Tribolium castaneum: one gene and its partners. The protein of the gene in region 3 purifies or fractionates together with the protein of the main gene of each other region. This does not show direct contact. Links are inferred from orthologs where the notes say so. Each region holds a gene or a part of one and is shown on either strand. Other genes may lie near its edges.

Region 1 (3,651 bases), on a different chromosome or scaffold from region 3:
CCAATTCAGCTTTACTCAATCCCATCAAGGCAGCCACCGCACCAAAAAACCCAAATACGCCGACGTAAGTATTCGCAAGTAAAACCCAACCAAATTTCCAGTTTTAACTATATTAGGAAGAGGACCGCAATTACGAAGCTTCCGAAGAAGAAAGCGTCGATGAAGCGATCCGAAGCCACAAAAAGTACACCCCTTTACTTTACTTCTTCGTTTCACAACCAAATATTTACTCGTCGAAGCAGCAATTTGCAAATAACATTCACTTATCGTGCTTCGATGTGGGTATTAAACTCAACGACTCTAAAAACGTCCCAATTTCGTCCGTACCGACAGTGCAGGATTTCCCGGTTGATTTGGTAGTGACACGGTCGGGGCACCCTGATCCCGCTACGGGGATTCCCCCGGCTTTTTTTACCATGAAATATACGAAAGAGCACGGAAAAATGGCAAATTTCGTTATTGACGTTGCAAGGCCCACCAAATTGGCGTGCTCGCCGGCTAAAATTACCTCGCTACTTACCCTAAAACACAAAATTATGGAAAATTTTCCAATGGTGGGTGAGGTGCAGGACGTTGAACCCGATGTAGGTTGGTTTCGACGCATCAGGGATAACTTGAAAGGGATAGACACCGTACAGTTTAAAACCGATCAATTGGTCGTGGTTGTAGAAACCGAACATAATCTAGACGCCACTCTTACGATAAATAAGAGTAAAAATCGCCTCTTTTTGAGTGAAAGACCGGAAAAAATCCAAAGTTTTACGACTTTGGAATGTATGACGTTGACTGTGACAAGTAACAATGTGAAGAGACTGCTCCTCAATCCTTGGACTGTTAGTTTTGAGTTTGGCGCTCTTGTCGAGTCATGGCAACGCGATGATAGTGAGCCCCAAATTCACGTCACTATCGATAGCGATTGTTTATTAGTTGATATAAGTCCTGAACAGATTATTTGCATGGAAAAAATCATGAAAGAACTGTCCGAATTCAATGTTACACCGAGTGTTCCCTCGGAACCTAAAATAATAATCCCGGAAAAAGACCAACACTACAAAGATGATTTAAGGGCCGGTGCATTCCAATTCATTGAAGCCAGTAGTGCCAACAGCGAGGAACTACCACTTCCTTATCAAGTCATGTTTTGGAACTTTAAGGAGACAAGTGCCATGGCTTGGAGGTAATAATAATAGTAATAATAAAAGCTTTTATTAAAGAAAAAAAATGCGAGGAGGCGAAGTCTAGCTAATGCTTTTCTACTTAGCCTCTCTCAAAACACATCTAAACAACAATTTTTTTTAAATACAAACTTAAAAATAACTAAAACTAGAAATAAATGCGAAGAGAAAATACGTAATATAATGTTAATATAAGAAAATAATATAATTTAAAATAATATTAAAAGAAAAGTAGATGATACCTATGTGTTATGAATATTATTGAAAAAATTAAAAAGATAATAACAATAAAATAATACAACATGAAAAACAAAACCAGCACAAGAATAATTACTGAAGTAATAAACAATTTAACCTTATCTGATGTATTTAAAAGTTGACTGGCTTTGACTTCAACTGGTTTTCCATATTATTATACAGGGTGACCCAGGGATGCGTAATCGGTCTTACTTTTTTGTTACTTGAAATATTGCCATGTCGTTTTCGTTATCCGATAAATCGACTTAAAGTTTGATCCACAAACTAAAAATATTTTTATTATACACAGGATGTTGAATACAGGATGGTAAACCAAAGTTGTGTTTTTTAAATGGAACAGCCTATATATTTTGCATAATTACTAATTAGATTCTATGTAAAAATTAATGTACTGTGTGTAAACCATTATGGGTCTATCTCTTTTCGTTTCGGTATTATTCAACTTTTTTTTAATAAAAAAGACCAATTTTTAAAAAATCGCTGCGAAGTCACCTATGAATATTTTCCGACAAATTTGCAACAGAAAAATTCAGAATACCTTGCAGCTTTAGGAAATAGTCGACTTTTTCTTGAAACACGGAAATAATGTACAGGGTGTGCCAAATGCAAAAAGTTGAATAAAAATGTTTAATGATAACGATTTTGTTATCTAAAATATGGTATTTGTACTGAAACCTTTTCTAAACCCCGGTTTTAAAGACGGAAGAATATTATGAAATTATATAAAAGGATAAATTTGTTTGAAAATTCCTTTTTCTAATATTTTAGAAAGACTTGAAATAATATTAATAGGCCTGAGGTCACTATAATTTTGTGGTTTACTTTTGGTAACGGCTTCGTTAGAGTGGTTTTCCAAGGATTTGGAAAAATACCCAGACTCTAAACAAAAGTTTATTATGTGAGTTACGTATTTATCAATAACAGGACTGCAGATCTTTAGCACTTTGGCGTTTATTCTATCAAAACCTGTCGAATTCGATTGAAGCTTAATGATTATATCGTGAATTCCAATGGTAGGCAGCTGAAAAGAAAATTAATTTAAAATCTTTATTGTATATATTTTGTAAACAATAATTAAATGTTTCAGGAGGAGAATTAAAAACAAATAAAAAATCCTCATTGATTTTATTTATATCATTTAAATGCGAGGGAATATGGGTGTTTTCACGAGATTTTAAATCATTTTTTTAATGTTTTCCACAACATTTGATTGTTATTCAGAAAAGCACTTTTCCTTTTTTAATTTCAGGTATCCCCAACCCCGGGCTTTGACCAAAGTCCGGATTTTTCCGGTCCCACTTGAGATTTCCATCGATCCGGAACCGACCCAAGTGACTTGTAGTCTCCAGTATTGGTCCGACTATCACTGCAGTTACATCCCCTATGCCCAGTTCAGTCTCTCGGAAAGTGAAGTTTGCTACCTTGATTTACCCAAAAGTGAGCCACAGAGGGCGGTAGCATACATCTGGCGGGTTGTTTTGACCAGTTTGGACTCAAACGGGGCGAAAATCAACCGAAGTGTGATCTCGCCACGCGCCCTAGCGGCCTGCATGCGCATTGACTCCTACTTCAATAAAGCCATAGTGCCTAACTTCACGACAGTGTTGTATGTTTCTAAACTAGAACTCTCATTGGTTAATCACTTTGACAAGGATAAATCAGTGGTGCCAATCACTTTGCGGCATTTCACCCCAGATCAAGCCATTCCAGCCAACCATACGTTCCTGAAGGTCACTTCGACCAATTTGAGGCTGCACATGGCCCACTGGGACTCGGACATGCTCTATTGCGACCTGACCTCACATTTGAGGTGCTCATCTATTGATTATACTTTTCTCACCGAACAAACGCTAATCGATCAGTTTACGTTCAAAGTTGAGTTGAATTTGGCCAAGAAATTGACTTTGGGGCTGGTTTCGAACCCGATACGGGTTATTTTCGGACCAACGATTGCGCACACTTTGACGGTGAATTCGCAATTGTGGGCACAGAAATCGCTCGAGTCGGATCACAATATGGTGATTTTTACTCGATATGTCGTTTGTAACGATACAAATATGAATCTGAGGTTTGGACAAGTCGGAACCGATGAAGATATCCTGTTGCCCAGTCGGTCTTTTCACTTGTATTGTTGGCGATCGGCCAAAAACAAAAGAAAGTTGAAGGTGGCTTTCGAAGAGAGGGGGTGGTTGTGGTCGAAGCCGTTTCGAATAGATGA
Region 2 (4,132 bases), on a different chromosome or scaffold from region 3:
TATGCATTACTTTTCAACAAAAACCCGTGAAGTCTTTAATAAAAACAAAAAATATTTTTTTAATTTTCGGGACGTTTCGTTCAGACAATTAAAAAAGATACATTTTTAGGAAATAATTGGAAAAAAGTAATTGTTAGGTAACTAAATTAAATTATTATATTATTAAAGAAAATTATTAATTTGAATGGTATGCAACCAACATTACAACCATTTAACCGGCTAACGTGAACTAGCCAAACAATTCAATAAAAAACGTAGTTTCAACTAAATAGCGGCTAATTTACAACAAAATAGTTGGATAGTTTGTGAATTAATTCAAAAGTTGATTAAATAAGCTGGCTTAAGTTTATAAGAAACCTTGAAAAACAAGGTAATTTTCCATATTTTTAGCCGAAACATCTGGCTCACATTTTTTAAAATAAAAAAACAAAAGATTCCATAAAAAATCGATGCTTTAATAGTTAAAATGGGCTTAAAAACAAATCATTTTCCTACTTTTTTGTTTTAAAAAAATCTCAGTTGGCTGTTTTTCAGAAAATTCAATGAATAAAACAAGAACAAATCTTTTTTTTTTTAATAAAATCGACCACCAGAGAGCGCTTTCTCATAAAATGCTTTAGGGAGAAGAAACAAATGCATGTTGTAACAAATAAATATATTTGTGAAGCACACTTACGTACAAGAGAATAATTTACTTACATACAAACCACTCATTAGCGCAACTAACTAAAATTTATTCAATTTTCGTCATTTCCCAAACTTGAACACTCCACCTACGCCTTTTCTAATACTTTTATTTTCGGGTGCCTGAAACAATTCAATAAAAAAACACAAGAATTTTGTTTGAAACTCACATGTCTTGCACCAAACAACATCCTGGCTTTATCTTCTTCTTGCGGCGAGGAACTTTCATCCATTGAACCAGTATTTCGTTTGATTTGTAATTTTTGTTTAATTGCCTACAAAAAAATACAAAATCGTAAAAATGAAACCAAAAAAAAATACCTGCGAGAAGATAACACGTTTCGTGTCATTCCGAATCGCCATCAGGAAATCCAGCCACGTCCAGGTCATATTATGGTACTCCAAAGTGGGAATTACGAGGGAAACATCACGCAAATCCTCCAAATTCTTCTCCTTGTTCCCCTTATAACTGACTTTAACCGGCACTTCGGGGATTTTGATGTAAACAAACAACTTGTTTTTTTCCGCCCGTTCCTTCATTTTTTCCACATCGTCAATCAAAACGTAAAAATTCGAATCCCGGTTACGTTTCTGCGCCTTGGTTTTTTTCTTAGGTTCGTTACCGTCGTCACTGACACGGTCCGAATAATCGGCGCTTTCGCTCTCACGCTCCGGGAAACAAAACTTCATCATAGTGCTGTAAAATTTTTTGGTCATCCCGATTGTGAGAGGCACCAAGTTAATCTCAAAGTGTTCCTTGACGGAAATCCCGCCAACTGGGGGTTTCTCGCGGCAAAAAATGCGCAAAACTTTCTGGAAAAAATAGTCAACTCCAACCAAAAAAACACAAAAAATTAAACCTTGTATTCGATCGGCATCCCGTGCTGGATTTCGCTGGGACACAGCACTTCCTTGTAAATTTCATTCGGTAACAAGTTGGTCATTCTTAGGTAACCCAACTCGAGCAAGTGCTCGACCGAATCGTCATTTTTCGAGTTCTTGGTGTACAAAAAATTGCTCAGAACCAGATCTGCGATCCCGATCTGGCCGTCAGCTTCGGTCAAACGCCACTGCGCGTGTTTGAAGCAGATTTCATTGGCCCTAACTATAGTCAAAGGCTTGTCGCTTCGGGTGGTCGCAAGGCGGCTATTAGTCAACAACTGTGTCTCCTTGTAACACGACAGCATCATATCCAACTCCTCACTCTGCGCATTTAGTTGATTTTTGCACTCGAAGACTTGCTTCTCCAACCGATTCATCTCCTGCACCAGCTCCATATCGTTGGGATTCTCGGCCAGAGCCTTGCTCACCAGATACGTCTCCTTCTCCAGCCGCCGCAATTTGCTAAAAGTGGACCGAACTAGCGTTTGTTGGTTCTGGATGGGTTTTCTCTGGTCGTCCAGACTGTACAATTGTTGGAAGCGCATTCTGGCCAACTTCTCAAGAGCTTCCTTCCGGTGTGGTTCCACATACAGGAGTAAATTATTGACGATATCGAGCAGCATCGCGTATTGGAGCGAGTTGGTGCAGACGTCCAGGTCGTGGTGCATCAGGGTGAAGGCGTTGACGGCGTTTTGGCGGCGGTCCCACGGACCCACCTCCTCCTGTGGCGGCGGCGGCACCTCGGCCACCGCCTCCGGGTCGACGCTGATGTCGCCGTAGCCGGCGTAGAAAAACTCGCACTTGCAACGCGAGACTATTCTTTGCAACTAAAATAAAAATAATCATCCATATTATCCCAAAAATTTTCAGCAAAAAATTTGACAAAAAAATTAATAAATCTTAAAGAAATAGCCTACCTCTTACTTTTGTACACATATTGGACACTTAAAAGTTTTTTTTCTCTGAAATATTCAACAATAATTACTCGTATTTTTTGATACATGTTTGGAGGAAACTTTTGTCTTAAAATTGAAAGTTCTATCACCTCTTTAAATTTGTAACAATAAAGACGGAACACCCTGTATGAATACACTTTTGAAGAATTTTCTCATAATACTGATGATGTTTCTTATCTTGTGTTGTAGGTCTCTTATGTATTTAAATAAAAATTTATGTTTCACAGTTTTTTTTTTCTTTCTTTTTAATTATAACAAGCTATACAGGACTTTTTACACTTAAGTATATAATTTTATTACGTAATTAATGCCAGCAAAATATTCAGTTAGTTCAGATTGTTTAACGTTTTCTTTTAAAGAATTCATGGCCAAATCTCAAATTTTTCTCAGAATTAAATTTTTTCGCTAAAACGTCTGGAGCTGCAGTTACGATTTGTAACTCTATCATAGTTAAACTTGTGTCAACTTCTTGGTCTGTGCTTTCTTCTTTGTTTCCTTCGTTTGCACTCAAGCACTAAGCTTCTTATAACTGTATATTTCTTAATTATTGTCAGAACTCCTTGTTTTGTAGATTTATTTATGATAAAAAATAAAGTAACTTGAAGTCACTAAAGGCTAAATTTGTTCTCAACACATAGAAGAAATAAATAAGCGAAATAAAAGCAATGGATCGAAAAAAAAATTATTATTTTTGGAAATAAAAAAGTCATGTGCAATTTTTTTGCATTATTGATATCAAATCTTTGCTACCATGTGTCTGTTAAATGTATATTTCGAGATTACATTTTTACATAAATTTTTTTCTAGAAAAAAAGGTAACAAATGTTACAAATAGATTCATTTCCATTGAGCTGAAGATAGGCTTTAAAGTCAGAGACTTTTGAATGTTTAAGTGAAAAATATTACAAATGTTGCTATTGAATAATTATAATTCAACAGTTATTCCAGTTTAACGGACGGGACACTGCATTTTTTAAATTTTATTTTCAGTTTTTACGAACAGAATCAGCAGAAGTGATTTTTTTTTTTATAAGAACTTAGTGTCAGTAAAAATGTTTTGAGTAAAAATAAATAAAAAATTAAACAGTAGAAATTGAAATTTATTGGCTTTGTAATAAACGTGTTTGAATAACGGACGAGACAACAAAAGTTACGAAAAAAATAATCTTATTAATCAATCTATTTACCGATTTCCATTTTCTAAACTACCACAAACTGGAAAAAGACTAAAAATTATTTTTTTGTTGGTAACATTTCAAGCCTTCTTTTTAATATCTGAATCCTAGATTATAAATACTATTTTAAAACACGTTTCCCATAGCAACGTGTTTTAAACTAAAATGTTCCAACAGCAAAACTTGGAATAACACTCATAACGAAAACGCTTAAAGTTCTCGGGTGTCTAGGTATGCAACTCGCATACGCTCGTTGCATAATGACAGCCCTGTGTTTTCGCTCTCGTATTATTAATAACTATTCGGAAATAAAATTAACTAGACGCCCTCTGATAATGACTTTTGAACTATGTCGAAAACAGTAAAGAAATTTTCGTAATGCCACATTTAACTGACATTTAATGAATTGTTCAACAATTTTGCGTGTATAGTGTT
Region 3 (4,326 bases):
GAGGGTCGATTGCTAGTGCTTCGGTATAAAGAGTGAAAGCTTCCTGGAACCGGCAGTTTTTATACGCTTCATTGCCACTTTCCTTCGTCTTTTTGAGTTCTTTAGCTCTCTTGTAGATGTCCATAGCCTTTTTGTGGTCGGGTGCAAGTCGCAAGACTTGCTGGAAGTGGTTAAAGGCGCTGTCCAAATTATCTTCGTAATAAAGACACATTCCCCGTACGTAAATCGCATCAGCGTTTGTTTTGTCCAAATGCAAGGCCGTGTTGGCGATTTCTTGCGACTCCTGGTATCGTCCCAAGAAAGCCAAACATTCGGCTTTCATTATTTTGTAACGTGTGCAAGTTGGCGCTTCATCCAAACACCTATCCATGCAGTAAACAACTTTTCGGAAGTCTTTCTTTTCCATTGCTTTTGCTGCCTCTGTTTCGAACTGTCTCAGTTTTTCGAACGAACGAGTTTCATTGTTGATGTTGGCGTTCTTGTCAAGCAGATTGATCTGTTTGATGGCATTTTCTGCTGTTGTAAGGTCGCCAAGGGCTATAGCGCATTTCAATATTCGAATGTAGCCTTTGCTGAATGCGGGATCGATGGTTATGGATTTGCGTGCATCCTCCAATGCTTCTTGAAAGTTGTTCAACATCATGTAACATGCCGAGCGGTTCGAGTAATAGGCGGCGGTTTCGGGGCATAGTTCGATGGCTTCGGTGTAGAGATTGAGGGCAGATCGGTATTGCTTGACTTTGTATAATTGATTGCCATTTTCTTTTTTCAATTCGGCAAGCCTGAAACAAGCACGGCTTTCACAGGAACAACGCAACTTAAGTGTGACCAGAATGAGTGAAAATTGCCTTTTAATGGAGTGAATCACGCTATGAAGACAGAAAATTATAGGAAAGAACTGGGGAAAAAACGAATATTAACAATGATATAACGGAAGTTCACATAACTACCAACTTATCAAATTTAATAAGAATTTGGCTGAGTAACTAACGATGTTAACAACCTATTAAAAACAATTAAAAATAACGACCCAAACAAACATAAAAAGCTTACTCTACTGTAAACTTTTTCTCTCATTTTCTTCTGTCCGTTTTAGTTTGGTAGTAGTTTGCCATAAGACAAAGAATAAAATATTATTTTACCTAGTGCGGGGTCTGAATACAAAATATCTTAAATAATTAAGTAGGATAGAAAGGACTTGAGGCATTAGGAAAAAAGTTAAAGCTGAAATACGAAGAACTATAACTTAGGAGACGAAACGAGATACAAAATCGTACGATTTTCTGAACCCAAAAAAATAGTACGGTATTCGTTTTCAATTAATTTAAATCCAACCAATTGAATAATTACTTGGAGATTTCCATAAGAAACATGAGAAAAAAATATTTTTTAAAGATAAATTAAATGGGAAATTTTATCAGTTTTAATTTTGGTAAGAAGATAAAAGTTGATAGGAGTAACCGTTTCCGAGACAAAAAAAAAACAAAAAATACTTCTTTAACCCCCTCCCCCTCCTCAAGCTCACTCCCCACCCTCGGGAACTTTTGATATAATTCTACCCAAGTGTAAAGAATGCTTTAAAAAAATCCAACTCTCTAAGAATTTCTTTGTTTAATTTAACTGGGCTAATTCACTAATCTCCGAGACAAGGAGCAACAAACAATATTGCAGAAACAATATCTACACGTGAACCAGTAAATGACCTACCTACCAATATTACCCTAATTTCATGCGATTTGAAACGATACTTCATTAGAAGAAAATATTAACTTTTGTTTTTCTAATTTAGTAAATATTTAATCAATGAATTGATCTGATTTTCATTCGTGACTAAGCAAAAATATAGAACAAACTAGCCAATTAACATGCTAAACTGTGAAAATTTAAGGGCCATAAATCGTTGTTACTATAGCAACAACCAATAAAATTGCTAGATTTCTGATTTTAGGGTGGATTAAATTTTAACAGCCCTTTAAAACTTATAGCATGGACCTCAAAGTCGTAATATTCTGACGAAATAAAAACCTTAGTGGATAAAAATTCGTTACACATCCAGATTAGGGTTTTTTGAATTGGGTTCTCTTCAACTTTGATCACAATCATAGTCACAAATAGAGTTTGTAAATAAATCACATTGTTTTTATCTTATCAAAAACCAACACTCGTGTGGTCAATGTTTATTCCTTCGGTAGGTTACATTTGTCGTTAATAAACAACAAAGATAATCCAATTTAAAAGTGAGAACCTTACAGTTCTTATGCCCATTTATGAGGTAAACAAATTCAAAAACAACACTCACATATTGTGGCAATCCTCAACTTCCATGGTCTTTCTCGTTACAAATTGGTAAAAACCGCGAAAGTGTCACAGTGACAAGTTAGGAGAAATAATGCAAAGGCCATAAAATCCACGTTATAAATAAAATAACTGTCCAAACAAAAGGTTAAATTGTTAATTTGCACGCCGGACCAAATATAAACACTGAACTGTGGAGGAGTGAACCAGTAATTACAAAGGTGTACGACCTTAGATTAAAAATAACCCACGGAAATCGTTAAGACTGCACAAATCAAATTTAAAATCGCACCAAGTGGTTCACTGAAATAACCGAATCAATAGCAATTAATTGTGGGAAATTGCAGTAACAAATGTGAGTCAGTGACACTCGTGTCATCGACATTTCGACGTGAAACCCCACGAAAGCAGTGCTCAAAATCGAGGAATAAATCTAATTGTTGTAAAATAGCACTTACTCGGCTGGATTTTTTGGAATTATCAAATCTTCAGAGTCCATAACAACATCTTCCCCAAAATCTGCCATCTTGCACAAGTTGTGAAACGAGTAAGACCGATTCATCACCGAATTCAAAATTCGTACTGTGGGCATGCGCACTAGCTAATTTGTGACCAATCGATAAATTTTCACCAACGCGGGAATTTTGAAACGAAATGAATGGAAATGCGTTTGACAGTATCGCCTTCAACGCCAACAAATACGAAATCGACATTAAAAACTACTTCGTAACGCGCCAAGAGGACGACAGTACTCAGAGCGACACTTCGGACTCACAAACGGACCAGTACTTGGCCTGTAAAGGAGTTAAACTGCCAACTGCGGAACCACACATTTGCACCTGGGATTATTTAACAAAACCTGAAGTGATCCACTTGATGGGCATTAAGAGTAAACGACTCAAGAGGAATTTCATTGGTAGTAATATTACAATCGTTTAAAATTTGCCAAGTTTTCGTTGCAGAGGGAAAATTGCACAAAAAGCCCAAGGGACTTCCCCGGATCATATTCAGGGAGTTGATGTACTCTGTGACTAAATTCTGCACGTCTGCCAGTTACACCGTGGAACAAACTGGGGCCTTGTTGTCACAGTTCTACCTAACTCATTTATTTTTCACCAGTGTTTTGGATGTTGGTCCTGAAAAATTGTACGAGTATTTTAAAGGACTGCAAATGTGTCATTCTCTACCAGTAAGTGATGGGGGTCAAGTGTGGGTAAAAACTGTATTATTTTTAGTTCCCACCACATAGTATCAAATTGTTTAATTTGGAACAAATTAAGAACAATATGGTTTATTTCTGTAAACTATATCTTAGAAACCTGCCCTTGGTCAGGTTCTTGTGTTTGCCCAATTTTTCCCTATGTGCCCAACACCGCGTACAACCAGACGTCGCTCCACGTAAAAAAGGGAAGAAAAAAGGGAAAGGCAAAAAGGGTAAAAAAGCAAAAAGAAATGATCTATGAAATACATTTATTGAGCTATTCTAATTGTTTTATTCTTTGTTCGAGTTGTGAAACAAGGGTGCTTTGATGTTGGTTCAACTGCTGATGTATTGTAGTGGCTGCACTGTTGAGTGTTTGGACCAAAGCTGCTTGAGCTGTTTGCAAGTTTGGTATTTTTTCCAGTTCAATTAATTCGTCTTTACTCACAAATTTGCCCTCAAATATGGCAGCTAAAGGCATAATTAATTAAAAATAACAAAAACTGGATTATACAATACCTAGTAAGACAAGCTGGGGAAACCTTTTCGTGATTTTTAGCAATTTCTTTACTTCCGGTTGCGGACTAAAGACCATAATGTTTTGCGAGACGTAAAAATCCAAAACCGGTTCAAATTTCGTATCCTTGACTGCGATTTCAAGTGTTTTCTTTCCATATTGTTTAAAAAGCATGTCGCTTTTTTTGAACATGGCATAGGCTTTAAACCTTTGGTCTGATTTCATTGGATTCAAGTGATAAAAGGCAATGAGTCGCGAAGTGTTGAACCACATTCTCAATTCGCCTGCAATTATTTGCTGATACGGGTTGTGT

What was found. The genes of interacting proteins can lie anywhere in the genome.
Region 1: the proteins of Tpr2 (region 3) and Vps13B purify together in Homo sapiens (co-immunoprecipitation; 3 studies listed by BioGRID and IntAct, counting the BioPlex papers as one, with this or other methods). This does not show direct contact. The link is inferred for Tribolium castaneum from reciprocal best matches to the Homo sapiens genes DNAJC7 and VPS13B.
Region 2: the proteins of Tpr2 (region 3) and hob purify together in Homo sapiens (co-immunoprecipitation; 3 studies listed by BioGRID and IntAct, counting the BioPlex papers as one, with this or other methods). This does not show direct contact. The link is inferred for Tribolium castaneum from reciprocal best matches to the Homo sapiens genes DNAJC7 and BLTP2.

What each region holds. Positions count from the first base shown.
Region 1 is NC_087395.1:19,613,483-19,617,133, forward strand, and holds part of Vps13B (intermembrane lipid transfer protein VPS13B), read left to right. Parts: coding exon 1-64; intron 65-116; coding exon 117-1,177; intron 1,178-2,682; coding exon 2,683-3,651. UniProt on the Homo sapiens protein: Mediates the transfer of lipids between membranes at organelle contact sites. Binds phosphatidylinositol 3-phosphate. Functions as a tethering factor in the slow endocytic recycling pathway, to assist traffic between early and recycling endosomes.
Region 2 is NC_087399.1:1,812,155-1,816,286, reverse strand, and holds the end of hob (protein hobbit), read right to left. Parts: intron 2,394-4,132; coding exon 1,545-2,393; intron 1,498-1,544; coding exon 1,006-1,497; intron 960-1,005; coding exon 855-959; intron 808-854; coding exon 748-807; 3' UTR 639-747; downstream 1-638. UniProt on the Homo sapiens protein: Tube-forming lipid transport protein which binds to phosphatidylinositols and affects phosphatidylinositol-4,5-bisphosphate (PtdIns-4,5-P2) distribution.
Region 3 is NC_087398.1:7,331,257-7,335,582, forward strand, and holds the start of Tpr2 (dnaJ homolog subfamily C member 7), read right to left. Parts: upstream 2,888-4,326; coding exon 2,754-2,887; intron 2,438-2,753; exon of another isoform or gene 2,326-2,437; coding exon of another isoform or gene 2,300-2,325; intron 783-2,299; coding exon 1-782. Other genes in the region: uncharacterized protein LOC103313090, read left to right, coding at 2,950-3,211, 3,258-3,484, 3,531-3,758; mRpL10 (large ribosomal subunit protein uL10m), read right to left, coding at 3,774-3,967, 4,016-4,326. UniProt on the Homo sapiens protein: Acts as a co-chaperone regulating the molecular chaperones HSP70 and HSP90 in folding of steroid receptors, such as the glucocorticoid receptor and the progesterone receptor.